Linked DNA regions of Saccharomyces cerevisiae S288C. The protein of the gene in region 3 binds, or shares a complex with, the protein of the main gene of each other region. Each region holds a gene or a part of one and is shown on either strand. Other genes may lie near its edges. A codon is read from its position in the direction of its gene.

Region 1 (6,111 bases), 190 kb from region 3:
CTTTGAATTGTACAATTGAGAGAAGAAATTTTTGCAGCATGGCTTGATAGGCTATTTTGTAACTGTCACTTCCGTACTTGGTTCGGCAGGTATTTTTGAGCCTTACTAAATTTGACTTGACGAAATATGCGAGAGGCGTATGTATGGAAAAAAGAGCATCATAATACTTACTTTCTATGTACTCTTTAGGGTCTGAATAGTAGTCATTAATTTTTGATTCGCCTTTCATATCTGGGGGATTCATATCCAGTTTAAGGTCTTTGTCCTTCTCAAGCTTACACGAGCCCTTGGGTTCTTCTGACCATAAATGAAGAAGCTCTTTAAATTTCAATTCGTCCCATGTTTTTAACGTTTCACGCTTAGCTCTTTCTCTTTCAACTGTCGTTACAACTTCCGTACGCCTTTCTGGTAAGCTGTAACCATTGAAATAATTGTACGGCCACTTAACCCAAAATCCTGGCCCATATTCCTCTAGTAGAAAATACTCTTTTCTTGATTTCATGCAGATGTGTTTCAATTGACGTCGATTCTTCTGTTGCAGTAATTGGAGAATGTTACTGGGCACGTCCTCGGATTTAATAATAAGTGGATGATCTAAGCTCAAGTCAAGGCCTTTTGTTGCTTCTTTTACCGATGCTATGACTTCCCATGTTTCCATTATGAGAGGTCAGATCGTTCCTACCTATACGATCTTAACCCTTCAGCAGTTATGAATGAGGCTTCTGCCTGTTTTAACAGTGCCCATCACTTTTTTTTATTTTTCTTAAATGGACCATGTTGTACACCAAGATAGCCGATATTTCAAGGTCGCGTATAATATAACATTTTGCCTAGGATTTTTGTCACCTAGAAATATATATACAGGGAAATCTAAGACATCGAATTATGTGATGAGTAAATAATTTAAAATTTGTAAACTTTGTAAATTCTTTATTAGTAAAATATTATATACCTAATAGTGAGGGACATTTAAGCAGATGAAGAGCATGTTTATTACGCTAAAGATACCTTCACCTAAGACCAACCCCGAACTGAATACAATCATTTTTGTTTTCGCATTTAAGTCACCCCTATGATTCTTCAACCAAAAATGCGAAGCCCACCCGCCGATGAATCTTGCAATTGTAAAACTGGGAGAATTAAATATACCAACACCGACTGCTACACCAGACGGAATATATAATATCCACCCGTATCCGTAATCTCTATAAGTGTTTCTGATTAATGATAAAACGGCAAATATGACTCCGAGAATCATGGAGCACTCCAAGGCCTTATCAGGGAGCCCTTTACCAGTTACTAGTCTTGCACAATCTATCCACACTACTGCTGTCGGTATCCTGAATTGCTCACTCGGAATTGAATAAACTTTATTGTAGCACAAATACATGAAGCTAGACAAAATAATTGACCAACAGGCCCCTATCAATTGGGCACAGAACTGAGCTCTTGGGGAGGCGCCGAGGAGGTGCCCCGTTTTCAAATCCTGCATTAAATCGCCCGCCTGTTGGGCAGAGGCTTCTGCAATACCTCCCGATACCACGTTCATTAACACTGATCCAGGTCTATCCCTTGGTATGATAAAGGCAAAAATCAATTGAGAGATCTTACCAATGCCGCTCACAGGATTCAGATCGGTCTCTCCAAGTGCTCGAATACCGAGAATAGATAGAAACAACGCAAGTATCAAAGCAGTGATAATAGCATATAGGGGAATTACTTGTATCCCAAACAAATATATTATGGAAACAATGCATATTATCGAGGAGACTAGACATCCACTGATAACGGTGGTATAGCGAACCAAATGCTTCGAATCTACTTCTATTTCGTTATCTCTACTCACTAATCTTACGGTGTCCTGCCTTCCATCAACATATGTATTTCTTCTGCTGCTATTAATGGCGCGTTCCTCCTCCAGTAACATAGATTGAAATGTATCATCGATTATGTTGTTCAGTAAAGCAGCTTTGTCATCTATAAGAATAAATTTCACAATGGACTTCACTGTCACAACAATAAAAGCGACTACACTGTCAGCAACCATTATTGAAAGCGACGACCAAAGAATCCATCCTTGCACTCCCTCCTCCCAGTCGTGGACATCAGCATCTGGTGGTACCCATCTTTTGTATCTCGCCAATGGTGCTAACACACCCCAGCCTAAGAAGCACCCGATAAGCATATACGATACTGTTGGAAGACCCATTATTATCCCTTGGCCTATATACGCAGGCGACGGCTGAAAATTCCAGAGATAATTGTTCGAGAGGTATTTTCCGAAGACTGGAATAGACCGTATTACCGGTACAAAATATGACACCATGGTGTAAAGCGAAGAAACAACAAAAGTTTTCAATAAAATAATAATATTCGCTCTGTAGTTCTCAGAGCCAGTAGAAAGGATAGAACTTCCATCTTGGCTAGTTGCCGTATAATCACCAAGTTCGCTATGAGAAGAGTTCATTAAATAATCCGCCTCCTCTGGATCTCTGTTGGGTTGTAGCACTTCAGGGCATTCATTCAATCTCCTCTGCCTCATTTCCAATAACTCTGACTTAGAAACCTCTTGTAAAATCTCAGTTCCATTTAGCACTGAAATTAAAGTGGCCGTGGCGCTACCACTGGGGAAGGGAAGTTTCTCTCTAACAATTACTTGCTTTCTTAGAGGAACTGCAAAAAAAATACCGAAGAATGCTAGGGCTGTGGACCATATTAACAATTCTCTAAAAGTGAAGGACTGTCCTTGTTCCCTTAATCCACCACTTTCGTCGTTAGTAAGGAACTTCTCGATGGCAGGTATGACGCCGACAAACCCAAAGGCTAATGGGCCTGTTCCGACAGCTACTGCCATACTTTGTACGTATACATTTTCAACGTCACTGAAAGGCCTGTCGTTCGGAAATATTAATGGCCAGATATTTTTAAAGAAAGCACAAGCTAACAATGCCGATGGCAGGGACATCATGGAAACCCAACCGGTTTGCAGGCCAAATTGAAAATTTGATGTTAGCACCAGAGACCCTATAGCGATACCTGCTATGGTTGCTCGGAGTGTTATCTGCTTCAAAGCAGGTTTATTATCCCATGGTACACGCTGTACTTCTTGACTTGGAGTAGATTGAGGCATTTCAAAGTATTTACAGTACCGATTTAGAATCTTTAACGGTTAGTCCTCTATACTGTGACTCTTTTTCTTCCTATCTTGGTGCGAAAATAAAAAAAATGATGCCTTGAGATAGATCTCACGAAAAATACCTTCTACGGCGTTAAATTTACAGCTTTTCTTTAGCTGCCTGTACCTTTTTGATGAACTAATTTATTTTGGTATCAACAGACAATACTACAAAAGGCTTTGCATTATCTTCCTTCACCCTTATATGCAGCATTCCCCCCTCCCAGAGATCGCATCAGTATCATTACTAATCGATTTTTCACTTCGCTTTATAACCGAATTTCCGCCGAATTATACCCAAAATAAGCAAGATGAAAATATATTGGTCAGATGAAGTATGCATGACTGATTAATCATGACTTTATTAGTTGCATTTATTTATAGTATGTACACAAAAATCTCATCGGCTCGTTTCAGTTGCTACCTAGAAGGATATATTTGAGAATATCGCTTAACGTCAAGACACCAACCAACCGTCCGACGTCATCAACTACAAAGAATCTATGCACCCTTGCTTTTCTGATGTTATCCATAATAGTAGATAATTTATCATTCTTAGTGCATGTATAAACACCCTCAAAATCATCACTTCTCCTCATAAGGGCTTCTCCGACGCTCAATGACAGGTCGTTGTAGATGCCTCCTTTTATCAAGCCTAGGACATCGTATGCTTCATATACGTTGATTAAGTAGCCGTTTTCGTCAATAATAGGGACGGAAGAAACCCGACCTTGGGTAAGCATCTGAATGACGTCTATGACCGGAGTGGTCATTTGACAGCTTTTCATGTTATCTTGCGTAATAATGTTCAAGTCCCCAATTGGAATCTTTAGAAAATGTGTTTCCCTGCAATTTAAAGCAACGAACTTCAGAATTCTATATTGCGTAAGAACACTAACGACAATTTCTCTATGTGTCTCTTCATCTTGATCGATCAGTGGTATTCTACCACTTCTTGATTCTAACATCTTAAGACACGCCTCAAATAAGGGTCTAGAAGGATGAATTGAAGCTGTATCTAGTTGATCAACACCGAGAGCACGCTCTATATCTTTTAATCCATCTAACTGTAATTTGTCTACTAATTCGAACTTATCTGGATTGGAGAAGTAATACTGGATGACATTAATAAAATCTGTAGTAGTTAGAAGTCCAGCGAACCTGGAAGTCTTGGAGTCCCATAATGGCGCAGAGACAATGCTATTTTGCAAAAGAACATTCAGTGATTTCTTCACTAACAACGAGGTGTCCAAGACAATTAAACGGTAAGAAACAGGCAACACGTCATAAGATGTTTTCGAGTTCAAAAACTTCCTTATCGATTCTACAGCTAACTGCTGTTCAATAGAAACCTTTTCTTGTGAATCCTGTGTCGGTTTCATTATGTATTTTCCTTTTCGCTTCCTCCTAATGCTAACACAGCAGAAGATGTTTAGCTAACGTTAAAAGATTGATACAATTTTCCAGTTTGCAGCAAAACCACTAGCCCAAGAAGTTCTCAATGTAGATATTATGTTAATAACGATTATTGCATTGCTATGGTTTCTTCCAAGGCCTAAATTTTGTTATTTGCTAAATTTCTCTCCCTCCCAGTTCTCGCGCGTGTGGTGTGTGGGTTCTTTAACATGTGATGAGTTATATCTTGATGTATTCTCAAGGTTCATTACTTTTATTTCTTAAGCTTCTTGAATACATTTATGTTTATACATTATGTATGCGTGTATGGAAATTTCATTATATGCCTTGACATGAACTTTTATTTTTTTTATTTTATCACCTGATCAAATATTGGCTGGTACTAGAGGGCCTCCTTGTATGAATCTCACTCGAATTTTTGGAACGATTCTCCTTATCATTTGTTCGACAACCTTCCTTGCCAATAAGTCCTAGCATACCATCCATCAATCCGTCTTCTCTCGATCTTCCTGTACATCTTGGATCAAATATCTTATAAAATTTTAAGTTTTCATCTCCTCCCACTGTGGCCAATGTGGTTCCGTCAGGGGACAATTGAGAACAGCATATTCTTGCTTCATGAGCATGAACTACTTCTGCAACTTTGAATTTTGTTTCATAATTATAAACAGAGATTGCATTCTCTGGATTACCTCCTGTGGCAACAATCTCTTTATTCATCATACCACCATTGGTTGACGTATGACTTTGGCCCCAATGTAAAGAGCTCACCTGGGATCCGGTATTGATTGAGCCAACTCGTGCACCTGTGATACTGTTCCAAAAATGGATGTGTTTATCTGTTTGTCCGCCTCCAGAGGCTAGAATATTTGGCGAATATGGACACCAGCTTAGTGCTTTTACAGCAGCAGTATGCGTCTTCTTGGAAAATTGAGGCAAGGACGTTCTGGTATCCCAAATCATTACAGTGTTATCATTACCACCAGATGCAAGTTGCAATCCGTCACTTTTATAGCTCAAACCGCAGACTTCGCCTGTGTGCTCTGCCCATGTAGATACAATATGCTGTTTGATCCTGACATCATTGATTTGAATTTCTCCACTACGACTGCCTGTAGCTATCAAAGTATCTAACCAAGACAATGAACCGATACGGACACCTAAGCCTGATCTCATAGTTCTAATTAATGACATGGTCTCAACGTCCCAAATTTCGGTGTTCCCATCCTCTTTACCGATAGAGATATGACAATCATCATCAGACCACGTAACGCTGCATATTGTGGTGTTTTCGAAATCCGTTAACAGGGAAACATCCCCAGTGGTGGCATTCCACAGATATAATGCAGTGTCTAGTGCTATAGCTAAGACATTTTTTTTGGACCAACTTAACAAGTTTAAATAAAAGTCGTCTTGGAAACCAGGTGCATCAAGAATTCTTTCCGGATTGGTATTGATTTTCCTTAATTTAATTAAATCAGGAATTTTTTGTTCCTGCTGATAACTATAATGTGTTCTTT
Region 2 (7,910 bases), on a different chromosome or scaffold from region 3:
ATCACAAAAATTGATACCCATTAATACACATAGGCTCACGCCATTACTATTATTATATATATCATCAAGTATTGCATTTGTAATTTTATGAGTCCTTCTTAGTAATACATGAAGGCTTTTTTTTAATATTTTCGGAATCAACGAGAGTACACTATTCTATCCGATGATAACCGAGATAAATGAAGATAGTAACTAACCAATGAAAAAAGAGCGAGAATAAATTAAAGCAATAATATCAAGTTAGTCGTGGGAATATATGATCCACGCATAATAAGGTTACATTAAGCACTGCTTTATCCTCTATGTCTGCTAAGAAAAGGCCTTCGGGAAACGCAGCATTTGAACTTCCAAAACGGAGAAGAACCTACCAAGCTTGCATCAGCTGCAGATCAAGGAAGGTGAAATGTGATCTTGGTCCGGTTGATAACCCACACGACCCACCGTGTGCACGTTGCAAAAGGGAGCTAAAAAAATGTATTTTTAGCTCTAATAAGGGAACTTCGAACGACTTGCCTCCTAATTCGATTAATGCAATAAGTCTGCCATCTCTAGGTAAGAGTAAGCAAGAGATACAAAATGACTCAACGAGCCCAATTTTATCGGATGTACCTTTGTCAAGAAAAGGGATTAGCAGTGAAAAATCATTTAAATCAGAAGGGATGAAGTGGAAGCTTGAACTTTCCTCCATGCAGAACGCCCTAGAGTTTCTGGCCCAAGCTGCTGGAACTGTAGCAAAAGAAGGCGCAAAAGAAATCATAAAAGAGAAGTCCACAACACCGAAACCACTGAAAAGTTCTTTGGATGCGACAAATAAATCTGCTACGGACGAGGGGTTGAAACGACTTTCAAAAAGTGACAGTACTAACACACTTTACGAAAATACAGCAGATATGCTTAACCACACGCTGAATACGAATAGGAAAACATCACAATTAATGGAAGAAATCGGGAAAGTGAGACCTCCACCTACCCGGAAAATTGACGACTTCGATTACATCGGTCCAGATAGCTTGCTTACTAAAGAGGAGGCGATTGAACTCATAGAGGCATTTTTTCTCACGATGCACCCATTCTTTCCCAATATCCCACTTCAATTGCATGATCCGAAAGAATTAGCAGAATATCCAATTTTGTTTTGTGCAATTTTGACTGTTTCTGCTCGCTATCATCCTTTCGATACTTTAGGATTAGACAATGGAGAAGATGGGATGAGACACATTGAAGTTCACGATAAATTATGGGTGTATTGCCAGAAGCTTATATCTCAAACAATTTGGGCAGAGGCTAGTACTAGGTCAATTGGCACCGTGCTTGCTTTCATAATTTTCACGGAATGGAACCCAAGGAGTATCCACTATAAATGGTCTGACTATGCAAATGATCCTGAGTTAAATAATGTCAACGCTAGAGGAAGTAAGAATATTAGTACGAGGAAGGACGAAGAAGGATTGACCGGTGTCGGCGCAATCCGTAGAAGCGACCGAATGTCATGGATGCTGACAGGGTCTGCAGTAAGGCTGGCGCAAGATATGGGATTCATTGAAAACAGCTCAAAAGTATTCATTGTCACTCATATATCTGAGACTACCAGTGCTATGAATATGAATCAAAGATCCTTATTAGCAGAATCATTCAGCGTTTTAAACTTGAATTTAGGAAAAATTGAAAACGATGGAAATGAAAGCAATGAGGATTACCTTGGGAATGAAAAATTTTATCTGAATGAGATTTTGCCTGATGAAGAAAGTAAACTAAGGTGGAAGAGAGTTTTTGAAAACTCAGAAAATGACCACGACAACGAGAAAAATTTTTTGACTGATTGGGAGAGGGAGTTTTTAAACGATGAGTATGTTCTATATTATTCTAATAAAAAAGATGATACTAATCTAGCACAGAATCACATACCACCATTTCCACTAAGATTCTCATTCGCCCAAAGAGCAAAAATAGAGATCATTCGAATCCTATCCATAGCATATGAGACGATTTACTGTGAGAAGAATAAGAGGAAATTGGCAACGACAGATCAGAGACACAACCTCTCTGTCCTAAGTGTTTTTTCTCCCTTGATAGAGGGCTGGCTCAGTAACTACAGAGAGCTTCTTGTACCCCTTTCTGATGTCCCTTTCTCACTAGCAGATAGGAAGAACAAAAAACAAATATTTGATAACATCGATAGAATAAATGGTGAAAGTATTATCACAGATTTCAATTATTGTCAACTTTATATCTTTTCCCTCGCACTGCAAGTGGATGGGAAAACAAGCAGATTGAATATGAATGAAATTGTGACAAGCGCGAGGTATGTGGAATTAGCATACAGATCTGCAAAAGAAATATTGAGTTCTGCAAAGCGAGTTTCAAGGCAAGGAATGCTAAAATACATGCCCGTAAGATGGGTAATACGAATAATTAGATCCATTGCGTTCATAGTAAAATGCTACCTAACACTTACTGGTAGTGAACTGGCAACAAATCCAGATGCCAGAAACATTTTAAAATTAAGTGCAATATCGGTTGACGAAACATTCGATATCATCCGTGACACTGCGGTTACTTTGAAAGAAGCTACACCAGATGAATTACATCTATGTCAAAGATACGCAGCCATATTAATGTACTTATGTACAGAGATGAAACTTCGAAAAAAATCTTACTTAGAACGACCACCCTTATTAAGAGATGGCACCACTCCTCTAGAGAGCAATCGCGAATCCTCACTGGAGGGACAAGACTTAACTAAGAAGCCAATATTCTCTAAACGTATTGGATATAATAAAACCGAGACTACTTTTGAACCCTCGGAAAGGCCTTTGACGGAGGAAATTAATAGCAATTCTCAGAATTCAAATGATACATCTTCTAAAGGTATCGTTGATCCTTTTGTTGAACAAAACAACGATATCACAACAGCGTTACTGAACAATGAACTCTTCCAAGGTCCATCTCTATCTGACGAGGTTACAGATTGGTTCGGTGCTAGTGAAGATATCGGGCTTGAATTTGTAGAACCATGGACAGAACTTATTGAGCAACGATATATGCAATGTGGAGATGGTGATAATAATAATTTCGAAAATTTATACAACTTGTTCGTGAATAGTAATAACATCAATAATGATATTAATAACTCAAGGCCAATAACGCGTAAATAAGTAGATATCAAAGAATTACGTCATCAACCAAGACAACCGCACTATTCGTAAAAATGATTTTAAATACAAAGACAGAATAACAGGGGAAGATGGAGGTATATAATAATGCGAATGCTTCATAATACTATGACTGGTTTTCCATTGGGCATATGAGATGATTTTACGGCTCAATCACTACTTATATATGATTTCTATAACAAAGCAGGCCATTACACATTAGGAACGGCTATCTATTACATAAGAATATGCAGCAAATTCGTTGGATATGTTAAAGTATATTCCACGCATGCTGAGAAGTGGATTGCCAGAAACGTGACGTGAAATACCTACTAGAACAAAAAAAAAAGGAATGCAAACGTTCTAGGAGCCATAGGAATCAAAAAGAAAAAAATTGAATTAATAGAGTTCGTGAGAATCATTGCGAATTGAGATTCTAATTACTGATCTGAGACTTTTGTGTTTTATAATAACAAGGTGCATAAACTACTTGAGTGATAAATTTCCCCTCATATCTAGTAGTGCAAGCTACGCTGATTATTTCATCTCTAATACTGCTTGTCAGTAAATGGTTCAAATTCACGTGGGGTATAATATGATTTATCGCACCTTCATCCCTCTCATGTGATTCTGAATTCTGATTGCTTTGGTTTAGTATTCTGTTCAGATAGGATGAATTCAGGTATATGGGCAAGTCAGGAACTGGGTATCTACTTAGAAAAACCGCCTCTGCTGTTTCTGCATCAATATTACCGCCTTGCTGTAAAGTAGCAAATAAATCATCTTGATTACAGTCAACAACTCTATGTGTAAAGCTGGGAGGTTCTTGGGGATGCACGTCATCAGAATCTCCTTTTACAGAAATCGTAGAGCCGTCACCTATATTAAATAAATTTGGTATTTCGTTCGAATACACCAACCTCTCAGGCTTGACCTCGGCCATCAAATCCAAACTGCTAGCCTTCAGACGTACAAATGAGTCACGCATATTTATTGAACTGGACCTACTTAAGCCTCTATAATCTGAAAACGGTGTACTTGGCCTTTCAACACCCTTAGCAGAATAGTAGGAAGATTTTCGAGAGGAAGAAGGAAATCTTTTAAGTTCCGGTCTCTTGGGCAATTCTTCATCCAGTGTTGGCTCTACTTGCGAGTCGATGTCTGCTTCGTTTCTAAATGGCTCGATCGTATGATAACCGGGCAATACTTCAAACCAGTTGACAAAATTGCCTTCTGAATCCGTAGCTGTAGGAAGAAAATTTGAGTGAGTCAATATACCATTGATGGAGAATTGCAGTCTATAAATTCCTGCAGGCAAAAAAAGATCTGGAACAAACCATTCCTTATGCACATCATCATAAACCATGCGGATCCTAGGATTTAACTGTTTTTCTGAGTCTAAACTTGCATTCTCATCCAAGGTAAGCTCTCTTTGCTCTTTAAGAGCAGAAGCAATATCCGTGCTTACTATAAAGACTTCCGTGGTTGCAGCCACGGTACCATCGTCTTTCCATTTTAGAACAACTAAAGTATTTTCGGTGGAGTTTGTTGATGATATTGAAGACATACTCGACATGGAATTAGAGTGATGCGATATTTCTCTATGCTGCGGTGCAGAGTATTGACTTTCATTGTCGTTAATAATTGGATGTAGTGGATGCAAAGGCTGCAAATTCAAACCGTTTGTTAAGATACTCTTTCTTGATTGTAAAGAATGCAAAGAAGCAAATGAGGATCTTCTCGAATTTGAAACCGACCTTATTTTTTTATTCTGGGCTTTCTTTGTCTTATTATGGTGCTTATTTAAATCTCTTTCCATCAAGGTCTTATCACCGTACAGTTTCATCATCATTTTTGCAGTAGCAGATATAGGTGCGGTAAAATCGTCGTTGGAGCCTCCCGCGTTTCCCTTGTTACGGGTGTTATTTTCAATATTTCCATTGTTATTAGCGTGGCTTATCCTTTCTGCAGTATACATTGAATTAGAGGAATTCACCCTTGAAAGACGTTGCATATCCTTTTTTAAAGCATTTTGTAAAAGAGACTGGTTCAAAACCATATCTTCACTTTGAAGTACGCCTGCTTCTGCATCTACACTATCACTGTTTCCCTCTTTATCCATTTGAGAGTTCTCAGAAAATGTTTCGTCGTTATTGAGATATTGATATTGGTATGCATGGATAGATGGTTTCTTTGAATAGGGTTGTCTTACAGGAATATCAATGGAATCCGTCTTGGTCAAGGCGGGAAGTGATGCTGAATGCACCGATGAAGACCTCGTTGGAGAAGGGGAAGCAGTAGCTGAACTTTCTAAAAGATTTTTTTTCAAAGCTATGATGCTTGAGCGATGCCTTTCATGGTGTGGTTTGTCGTTTCTTTCATTTTCTGTTGTTTCGTCAACCATGGTGTAATTCAAAGTAGACAGATCATCCAGATCACTTTTAGTTCGTTTGACAGTGGCCATTGATGGACCTGGGCTCAAAAACGACGGAGATTTCACCTGCTCTTCGGGTGCACCCACATCGTGATCATCACTTAAAGTCAAATTGGCCAACGTAGTGTCATTTACGTCTGCGGCAGAGGACAAAGAATAATCCTTTTTGAATAGATGGGACGGGCCCTTATCGATAGTAGTATCACTGCTCATGCGCCCATCACAATCTGTCGATGGATCGTGAGATGCAAGTAATTGCATTCTAGGGGGAATGGCACCATTATGTTCGCTAGTATGACTGGCGCGTCTCTTATGAGTACTCTTCCTATTGTTAAACAGTTGAGAGGTTATGCTTCCCTGACGATCTTTATTGAATGCATCATGAAAATGATGTCCATGCTCCTTTTTGGTTGAATGCGATGGATCCTGAGTAGAAGGACTGTTTCCCATGGCGGCTGCAACAACTATATAATATGACAGTTCAACTTTCCAAGATGTCAGTCCACACGCAAAAAAAGAAGTGCAAATGAAAGAAACACTAGGTAAGACACCTTGTTTATGTAGGTATCCACTTGTATCGGATATATCTACCATTGTTAATTGTCAATAGTATTCCATCAGAGACAATGGTAAAAAGACAAAAAAGGTATAATCATCGTACAAAGCGATCAATATTACATGCTCTCATCCAACATTATGTATACTCAAGATATGTTTATATGCTACAGGAGCTGTCTAACCAGAGCACTCTGTAAGTCGCGAGCTTTGACTACTATTTTGCAGTCATCTGTACATTTTGCCTTGATTATTAATTCGCTGCATAAATCATCTATGTCCAACGATGAATATTTTGGTAGGGAGGAGATCTCTTCGAGAATGTGGTAGCAAGACGCTTTTCCATTCGATATGGCGCTGCTAATGTGTTCAATTGCTTCAGATTGGGTTCGAATTGTTTTAGTATGAGAAGCAGCCACCGGAAGCACCGAAGCTAGAGATTTCTGATTCAACAGGTGGCTTGTTATTAAGTCGCATTTGATCTCCTTATTTGAACATGGTTTGGTCCCGATACACTTGCGGTTGCAAATATTATTACACTGGCTCCCTACAGCAAGGGGAAGCACGCTGGGGAATAAAGTATCATCTTCTGTCTCGTATGGAAGATACTTTTGGTCAATTTCACATTGACATGCTGACGTATCTATTTTTTCAGCGGTCAGGCGTTCAGAGTGCTGAGGAAAGTAGTTATGAATGTCGTAATCTAAAGCTTCTAGACCAGTCTGTCTATCATTGGAGACAAGATCGAGACTGAAATCTGGCATTTCACTACCATTAATACTTTCGTCACCGATGGTAACGGCACCTGTTCGATTTCCGGGGGGAGAATCCCACGAATTGGTTAAACTGGGAGCGTTCCATGAGCCTATGTTCCACATAACTTTCTCATTCTCTTGAGTGTGCGGCTGTACTTCTATACTTGTGTTCACAGTCATGTTTTCATCTGAATTAGGCGATGGCAATTCCTTTGCAGCCTTGCTAACTGCTGTACTTGTTCCTTTTTCGTTTTCCCTTTTCTGTTGTTCTTGCAGATCATCGAGGAAGGCTAATATTCTTTCATCATCAGAATTCTTAGCTCTATATTTTGTAATTTCCGACAGTAAACTTTTTAAAGAACATAGTAAAAAGTCCGTGGTAGTCTTATTCTGCGCATCTTTCTGTTCTAGTAACTCTACCCTCTCTTGCAAACTCTTCATTTTGGCTTCTTTCCTATCTCGGAACGCTCGTTGAGCTGCCCTATTCTGGGCAGTCCTCCTACTCTTAGCTTCAGAGTCAATCCTTTTTCTGCCTGGTCTGCCCACCTTCCTCTTAGGTGTTCCATCTTTATTTAGCAACATTTGCTTCTTCATGTCACCTGCTAAATATATTTGCTGACCTTTCCGAAGGATATTGCCCATTTATCTTAACTGGTCGTTCCATTGCTTATATGTCGTCCTTAAAAGTAACACCCCATTCGTATGAAAGTATAATAGTAATTGATTATCGATTAACTATTGAAGAAACACTATTTATGCTGTTTTGAAAACTAAAAACGCCAGTGGACCGATATAGAAATAAACAAAATGGCCCTTTTCGTGTGTCACGTAGCTCCCAAAGTTCTTTCCGACAATCACATGCCAGGTATTGCCGTATTTGACATCCAATTGCTTCTTTACCGTCCCAGCAATGTCTCTTTCCAACTGGTACTTGTCCAGAGCATCTTTACTGATGGTTAAAATATCCTCTTTCAGCTTGTCGGTCTAAGTTTTCTCCTTGTTAGTAAATATATA
Region 3 (7,537 bases):
ATATTGGTTGGTAGTTGTGAATCCCGAACATAAGATTCATATTTTTTGAAGTATTGACGAGGTTCACTATCTGGGCCATTGGCATCAGCAGCACTAAATCTGAGTAATCCATTCTTTTCCAATTTTTCGTGTAGCTTCTTTTGGTTTTCTTTACGAATTTGCTCCTTTTGAGCGTCTTCGGCACCACCACGGGCTTCGCCACGTAACTTTGTTCTTAAAATTTTGGAATTTCTGTCTGGTTTACTAGGGACTTTGGTGGCAGGTGAAGATTTCTTTTTATTATTGTCTTCTTCTTCATTATTGAAATAAAATGATATCTGGGATTTGGCTTTGGTGTAATTTGTTAAGAAGCGTGGAGGCTCTGTTTCATCGAGAGGAATTTGAACCGTATCAGCTAATTGTAAAGCGTAGTTGTTAGCACTTTGAGAATCTTTCAGATTATTGAAACCAAACGAAATATTAAAGCAGTCACCGCGTTGGATTTTACGGTAATCATTCTTAACATTTAATATAAAGTTAGAATCTCTAAATTCGAGACCAATCAATGAACCAATGTTTTTGGTGAAATTGGGCACTAGTTCAGGTTTGGTTTTTTCGATGTATTCTATTACTGATTCATAAACTTCTTTTGGTGTACGGCCGGGCTTCAGAATGTTAGTTACAATTTCTTTTTGCAAAGTTAATAGAAAATCGTAGTTGTTGGCCATTTCTTCAGATGGATCGATCAAAAAGGTCCTAGTAATATTAGAACAATAATTATTGTAACGAATACCACATGAAGCTAAAATACAACCGTTGCCGTACAACTGATCATTGGTAGAACGGGCAGAAACCCTAAGATCAAACTTTTTCCCGGACTGAATGATTGGAGAATAGGTCCAATCCAATAAATCAAAGTTGAATTTGTAGTTTGGTGGGCATAATGCGCTTAAATCGGGACTCAATTGCTTCAAAAATTTCACATCATCAATTTTATTTTCAATTTTGTCTGATAACTTGGCATTGGTGATTTTCAACTCCTCGTCAACTGCCCGAACCATTTCATTGGATAAAAGGTCCATAAATTTGTCCGACCCCTTACTTGAAACGGACAGGAAGGCTTGTTCGTTAACATCCTTCACTTCCCAAACTTTAGAAAGACCCAGCGAAATATCAATGACATTGAATTCGTTCTCCTTCACAGCCGCTTCCCATACTGGGTTCCACTCAGTCATAAATTTACCTTGGTAAGAGTCCTTTTCAGGGATACCCACTGTTTTACCAGCGCTATTGATTAAGGCAATAACGTCATCAAATAACTTTTTATTGAGTTCTGGTTCTTTATTGTTTCTTTGCCACAATTCCAGCGTAATTTTGCTTTCAGGGTCTTTAAATAGATCAATTGCCTTTTGTAAATGCTTGGCCTTGGCAGAACTAGTAATTATAATAACCTTTCCGGGAACTAATGCAATCAAAGTAGCGGGAAATTCGTAACTTAGCAACCAATTATGCAATATGGTCGTCTTCTGGTACGGGTTTTCAGCGTTGGACGAACCTAAAACAAACAGCAGCGAATTTGGAGAACCTTCAAACTCATTGTACTTGGAATACAACAATTCAATCCTTTTCTTAAATACGTCAAAATCAATATTCAGCTCTTCCATATTCACTTAAATACACGAAGCCAGTTCACGAAAGGTGCAATATCAGAAAGGAGTAAAGTTGGAATAGCTGAACTTTTTACCTTTTAGTCCCGTGACTCTCTTAGCTACTTTTATTCCTCTTCTCACCAATATTAAGATTTCAATATTCTTTCGTTAGAAAAGTGGCGATTCTCATTTTCCGAAAAAAAAAAAGATCACGCGACTTCCGGGTATTAGTATCGTGGTTTGTGATAACAATAAGCATTGAGAGTACTGAGCCCATTAGTAAATCATTATGTTATATGCTTCTATATCTCTGCTTACACTAAATTGGAAATAGAAATTAGTGTGCCATAGCTGCCAAAAATATATACAATACGCCTTTAAAAAGTAGGAATCCCGGATTACGAGGACTCTATGGGCGTATAAAGAATCTGGGTGACATATTTCTGTTTATATCGAACGATGGAGGCTACACAAAGTGTATTGTGCTTAATGCTACTAGTAACCAAGTGGTTAAGCACCACATGGTTCGGAATGGGCAGAGCGCCTGAGTTGTTCTCGTTGAACTGGTCTTGCGTGGCATAGTATTTATTCAAGATAACATTCTCCAACTGAGGAGGTAATTGGGGTGGTGTCAGCCATGACGTATCAGTATTGCTTTGCTGACGATCCAAGGTATAATAGTATCGTTCCATGACAGACGGGTCAGTAAACACGGCGGGAATGTCTGTTGTATATTCCAACGGAGGTCTGGGTGACAGATCTTCATGAAACCTTGTATATCCGTCACCAAAATCGTCTGGATCCTTACCAATTTGTAGAGCAATTGAGGATCGATCGCTGGTGGGAGGTCGCATGGAATCTGCTTCCTTGGACCTTATCTTTTCGTTAGTTGGGTTTTTTTCTGGTTGCCTGACTTCTATGTAATTGACGAAGTTTCCCATCTGATCAGTTGCTGTGGGCAGGAAATCACTAACTCTAAGCTCATTATCCACTATAAATCTGAATCTATGTGTGCCTGGAAGCAGCCTTAGCTTCACATGAAATGAGCCATTATTGTCAGAATCAGGTATCAAACCGATCATTTTCCTCCATTTGGTGAATGAGCCTGTCACGTAAACTTTTGAACCACCTTGCTGCCACCTTATCTCCACGGGAACCATTAATGAGCTCTTGATTTCACTTGGACCTCCCGAAGCTTCTTTGGCACGTATTTGCTGTTGTCCCTCCTCTCTGGGCGAAGAATGGCCTGAGCGATCATCATCAGGACTGGCATCTTGCTTGGGCTCTGTCGTCTGGGCAATAATATCTCCCTCTTCATCATCGCTAGTAGACGAAGACCCAGAGTCAGTGTCCACAGCAGTTTCCATAACAGATAGCTTTGGCATAGTGGGCTCGTCCTCATCACGCAGCAATAACGTCGATTTTTTTTTGGTAATAGATCCCTCCCTTGAAGGCTGCCCCGCGTCTTGGGAATCTGAACATTTATTTAAGCTCAGTTCAGTAACTTTCTTGCTCACAGCATCCATTTCTTGCGGTTCGCAGCCTTGAGCATTGCTGGGTTTTTCTCTAACGTCACTCATGATAGGTGCACGACACTTTTTTGTTGTTTGCTTTTTTTGGGCTGGATGACTTGTCGTAGTACCCATAGAAACTTCACTGCTCTCAGTACCCTTCCAAAAGCACAATTATTTCAGATACTTTTCATTTCCCAGGAATCTTGTGGTGTATTTATCCTTTCCCTAAAAGATTTTGACGATCCGAAAACGCAAGGTAAATCTTTACTCGGTCCAAGGGAGCAATATAAAAGACCATGCCGGCCGCAATTCGTATAGGTAAACGTGCTATTCATGACGATGCTAGTTAGTGATATGCATGGTTATCTATTTAATCTATCTATGTAAGTACGCGTTATATGCTAAGTTGTTTCATGACAGTTCGTTAGAGGAAAAATGGTGAGATAAAAAGGGGCCGTAAAGGTTAAACTCTTTTGGGACCGTTGAAAACATCAATTTGTTTCAGTAGGTTACGTACAGGCGGCAATTTTACGCCTGACAATTTCTTTCGGCTTTTGCTAGATTCATGATCTAGCGACTCGTGCTCCTCCTCATTACTACCACTGCTGCTGTTATTGGTATCTTCTTCTTGTTCTTCAGGAATTTCGAATTTTGCTCTTTCCCTCCTAGTCTTGGTGGTGTATCTATTGGAATCTAAATAGACGGACTCAAGTTCTTTGGCCACGGCGAGCTGAGAAGGAGCATTGCTGAAAGGCAAAGAGATAGCGCTGCTGGATGCAGAGGTATGACTGGAATCACTTGGTGAGGATGGTGATTCTATAGTGGTGGAAGGGGCACTTACAGGCGTTCTTTTTTGTAAGGTAGATAATGCAGATGCAAGAGAATGTGCAAAAGTTTTCTGCTGCTTGGCAACAGAAGGGCTGGCAGTTTGATGCTGATACTGCTGTGGGATATGTTGCTGGTGTAAATATCCATCATTCGGAGAGTTTGGCACAGAGCGTGGAGTGTTTACGCGAACATTCATGTTCGAGAAGATAGATGAAACATCACTATTTGACTGTATGGAGCCAATAGAGCTCTGGAAAGAGGTGAATGATTGCGATGGAACTGGAGTGTATGTAGAAATTGGCATAGGAGAAGTTGCAGGCTGGAAAGATGCAGCGGAGGCATGAATGGGGGCTGGTTGGGCCATGATTGGTATCACCATTGGGTGCACCGCATTGGGAGCGTGTATAATGTTACCTCCATTTACTGCCTGAACATTTATGGCCATATTTGCTGGTAGGACTTGCGGTATTGGTTGGTGTATCATCACGCCCGATGCAATGGTAGGAATTCCGCTTACTGTCAAAAACTCCTGTTTCTGTACGCTAGCTTTCTTCAATCTCCTTTGAGATTGCCCTGTATGCGTTCTCATGTGCCTTTTCAGTTCATCGCTTCTACTGAAACTTTTCCCACAACCAGGAAATGCGCAATGATGAGGTTTTTCCCCAGTGTGTGTTCTCAAGTGTCTCTTTTTATGTTCTAACCGATGGAAACCACGGTGACAGGTATCACATCTAAAAGGTCTGTTTTCGTTATCTACTGGGAAATTCGTTTGCTTTTTAGGCATTCTCTTTTTTTATTTTTATTTTGTTTGTTCTCGAGGTCAATAGTCTTAGCGTGAGTTAAAACTTAATTGAGAGTTAAGATAAGCTACACAATGGTAATAGTACAAGGACAAGCACACAATTTGACAGGCAGATCGTAAGTTACTACGTATTATAGACGGGTTTCCCAATCGCTTATATACCAGAAACGCTTTTGACCGGGAATGATTTTCGGAAAAACTTTCTCGCACGGATTATTTACCGTATCCTCGTACGAGATTTTTCTCAGCGGCATATAATTTAGAGTTATTACTTCAGTTTTGCGGGTGCTCCGTGGATGTCTCCGCGGATAAATTTTCGGATGAGCCAAAAAAGTGGAGGCGGGGTTTCTTATCCCGGCTTTTTTTCTTCTTCGTATGAGCCTATCAATCATTAACTGATGGTAATACGCTAACTTCAATGGGGAAAGGGGAGAGCTAGTTGACGCAAGCTCCGCAGGGGCGATAGGGCAACTACAGCACATCGCCACAGCTTATTAATTCGCACCGTGGAGATGATGGTCGCTCGTAAATCAGCTCAGTGAAGATTATCGTTTGCCATCGTGCTTCTCATATTACATATTCAAACAAACTACCACAGAACTATCATTGGGGTAGGTATAGCTCAAATTCAACAAGGCCTGCCTTAAGGGCCATAAACTATTTTATACTTTCTTTGTTTTTACAAGTGGGGGAAAGAAAGAGCGACAACCGATTTTTCTAACCTTCTTGGAACCGAGAACGGTAATTTCCGTAAATAAAACGCAATTACTGTATCGAGCGAGTTTGTTTTCCGAAACACGCTCTAATGTAGATTCGAAAAAATAATGATATCAAAGATGAGTAGGCCAATATGAAAAAATAACAAAAAACTTAGCAACAGAAATTGAATCATTGTCGTACCCCATCCTTGCGTACGTAAACAGCCTTCCTTCTCCTGCCTACCCCTCACGTCGTCTCGGATAAACCTTCAAAACCCGCAATTTCGGAAAAACTTCCAATATAAACCATGACGAAATTTGTATCCGGGAAGGTACGTGAAATACACAGAGCGAACGTTTATAAAACCGTCTAATTCTGCTCATGCGTGCGGAAAAAAACATACACGTGTGTTTTTAGACTGCACAACAACAGAATATTTAAATCGTAAAAAAAAAATCATATTCTTATCTTCGGCTATTGCAAAATGCAGGCGTCAGGAAAGGTCTATTTAGAAAATGTATGTACGTTAATACATTTTTTCTTGCGTGCAACGAAGGTTAGTAATAAATAACTTGGGAAGGTATATGTAATTGATTATATTTATAAAAGCATTATTAACGGGGGTTATATGTAGACAGAATATGCATGAAACCATGCGACCTTAGTAGGGCACAAAATTTTTAACAACAGTTGCTGGATTTTTTCTTCTTGTCTTCCTTTGGTGCCGGTGTTAAGCTGATGGTAGGACCCTTTGGAGCGCCATTAGAGCCCATGTTGTTGGTACCCGACCCGCTTAAGTCTACTTGATGTTTGCTTACCATTTGGAAGATGGCTACGATCAGTTCTCTAAATGCTTTATCTACATTATCACTATTTAAAGCACTTGTCTCAGTAAATAACATTTGGTTTTCCATTGCGAAATTTTTCGCTTCATCGGTTGGTACTGCTCTTAAATGAGCCAGATCTGATTTGTTCCCTATCAACCCAACAGCCACGTTGTCATCTGCGTTCTCTCTCAGTTCGGTAAGCCAGTGGTTGCAATTTTCGTATGAACTTGATTTGCTTATATCATACACTATAAGTGCACCTACAGCACCACGGTAGTACGCAGACGTGATGGCCCTGTAACGTTCTTGACCTGCCGTGTCCCAAATCTGTGCTTTTATCTTCTTGTTTTCAACTTCAATGGTTCTTGTAGCGAATTCCACGCCAATCGTGGATTTGGATTCAATGTTGAATTCATCGGTTGTAAATCTCGACAACAGATTAGATTTACCCACACCGGAGTCGCCGATAAGAACTATCTTAAATAAATAATCGTAGTCGTATCCGTAATCTTCGTTGCTCATTCTTGGAAAACAATATGCTTGGTTCGCTCTTTATCACCACGCTTTTCCTCTCTTTCCAGCGCGAACCATGCAATGGCCAGCTTTATAGCTGATTCTTTTATTTGTCTTTATTGTGTTGCGCGTTCTAATGGAGGGCGCGCCGTACTATATTATATTATATTATGTTACGCTGCATTCTTCTACTGCGAGCTATATATATGTCAAAAGCTGAGTTTCTCAAGAGCTCTCAGCTTCAAGGCTGCACCATCGGCAGAAGTGTCATTCTCGATTGCCACTTGGGCTCTACTTTTCTCCAGTCCTTCCAGCAACATGCACGCCTTGCAAATGTTATTTGACGACAGATATCCACATCTAGCGCATCTATTGCCGTCAACAAATTTGACGACTCTCTTTCCAGCGTTAGATTTTTTAGCCTTTAATGCCAAATTTTCGCCACTTTGGATGATGTCTATAATGCAACTGGGCCTCACTGCTTCCAGATTCTTCATGTATTCTCTCGCAGTGCCCCTAAACGCTTCTGGGGCATAGGTACACTCAGTGGAAAAATAATCCAGCTTCATGTAGTGCGCATACAGGACAATTTCCTTTTGGTAAGAATATTTAAATGGTTTTGATCTCTTGATGGGAGAGCCGCTACTTTGTGTGATAATCGCAGTCGATTTTTCCAATCTTGCTACGTCACCACGTAGGATATTCATTAGTACTGTCTCTGCCATA

What was found.
Region 1: the proteins of SIP2 (region 3) and SNF4 are in contact, whole or in part, in a crystal structure (PDB 2QLV), measured with the Saccharomyces cerevisiae proteins. Residues at the interface, in NP_011307.1 of Saccharomyces cerevisiae: Thr212 (codon at 2,641), Arg216 (codon at 2,629), Asp227 (codon at 2,596), Thr231 (codon at 2,584), Ala232 (codon at 2,581), Thr233 (codon at 2,578), Asp234 (codon at 2,575), Gln235 (codon at 2,572), Met236 (codon at 2,569), Gly237 (codon at 2,566), Asn238 (codon at 2,563), Phe239 (codon at 2,560), Tyr242 (codon at 2,551), Asn389 (codon at 2,110), Thr390 (codon at 2,107), Tyr399 (codon at 2,080), Lys400 (codon at 2,077), Gln401 (codon at 2,074), Lys402 (codon at 2,071), Tyr403 (codon at 2,068), Val404 (codon at 2,065), Thr405 (codon at 2,062), Gln406 (codon at 2,059), Ile407 (codon at 2,056), Leu408 (codon at 2,053), Tyr409 (codon at 2,050), Thr410 (codon at 2,047), Pro411 (codon at 2,044); in NP_011400.1 of Saccharomyces cerevisiae: Phe25 (codon at 4,485), Lys29 (codon at 4,473), Tyr32 (codon at 4,464), Asp33 (codon at 4,461), Val34 (codon at 4,458), Leu35 (codon at 4,455), Pro36 (codon at 4,452), Val37 (codon at 4,449), Ser38 (codon at 4,446), Tyr39 (codon at 4,443), Arg40 (codon at 4,440), Leu41 (codon at 4,437), Ile42 (codon at 4,434), Val43 (codon at 4,431), Leu44 (codon at 4,428), Asp45 (codon at 4,425), Ser47 (codon at 4,419), Leu48 (codon at 4,416), Lys52 (codon at 4,404), Val56 (codon at 4,392), Gln59 (codon at 4,383), Asn60 (codon at 4,380), Trp68 (codon at 4,356), His127 (codon at 4,179), Pro128 (codon at 4,176), Ser129 (codon at 4,173), Asp151 (codon at 4,107), Ile160 (codon at 4,080), Val161 (codon at 4,077), Val162 (codon at 4,074).
Region 2: SIP2 (region 3) and SIP1 share a complex: the UniProt entries of both Saccharomyces cerevisiae proteins name them as parts of the SNF1 kinase complex.

What each region holds. Positions count from the first base shown.
Region 1 is NC_001139.9:290,479-296,589, reverse strand, and holds SNF4 (AMP-activated serine/threonine-protein kinase regulatory subunit SNF4), read right to left. Parts: upstream 4,558-6,111; coding exon 3,589-4,557; downstream 1-3,588. Other genes in the region: SLD3 (Sld3p), read right to left, coding at 1-658; YGL114W (uncharacterized protein), read right to left, coding at 953-3,130; ubiquitin-protein transferase activating protein CDC20, read right to left, coding at 4,949-6,111. UniProt on the Saccharomyces cerevisiae protein: Adenine nucleotides-binding subunit gamma of AMP-activated protein kinase (AMPK), an energy sensor protein kinase that plays a key role in regulating cellular energy metabolism.
Region 2 is NC_001136.10:1,311,738-1,319,647, forward strand, and holds SIP1 (Sip1p), read right to left. Parts: upstream 6,037-7,910; coding exon 3,589-6,036; downstream 1-3,588. Other genes in the region: ARO80 (Aro80p), read left to right, coding at 303-3,155; CAD1 (Cad1p), read right to left, coding at 6,309-7,538; DYN2 (dynein light chain), read right to left, coding at 7,650-7,880. UniProt on the Saccharomyces cerevisiae protein: Beta subunit of the SNF1 kinase complex, which is required for transcriptional, metabolic, and developmental adaptations in response to glucose limitation.
Region 3 is NC_001139.9:93,075-100,611, reverse strand, and holds SIP2 (Sip2p), read right to left. Parts: upstream 3,275-7,537; coding exon 2,027-3,274; downstream 1-2,026. Other genes in the region: chromatin-remodeling protein SPT16, read right to left, coding at 1-1,643; MIG2 (Mig2p), read right to left, coding at 3,606-4,754; Rab family GTPase YPT32, read right to left, coding at 6,152-6,820; NCS6 (Ncs6p), read right to left, coding at 7,021-7,537. UniProt on the Saccharomyces cerevisiae protein: Beta subunit of the SNF1 kinase complex, which is required for transcriptional, metabolic, and developmental adaptations in response to glucose limitation.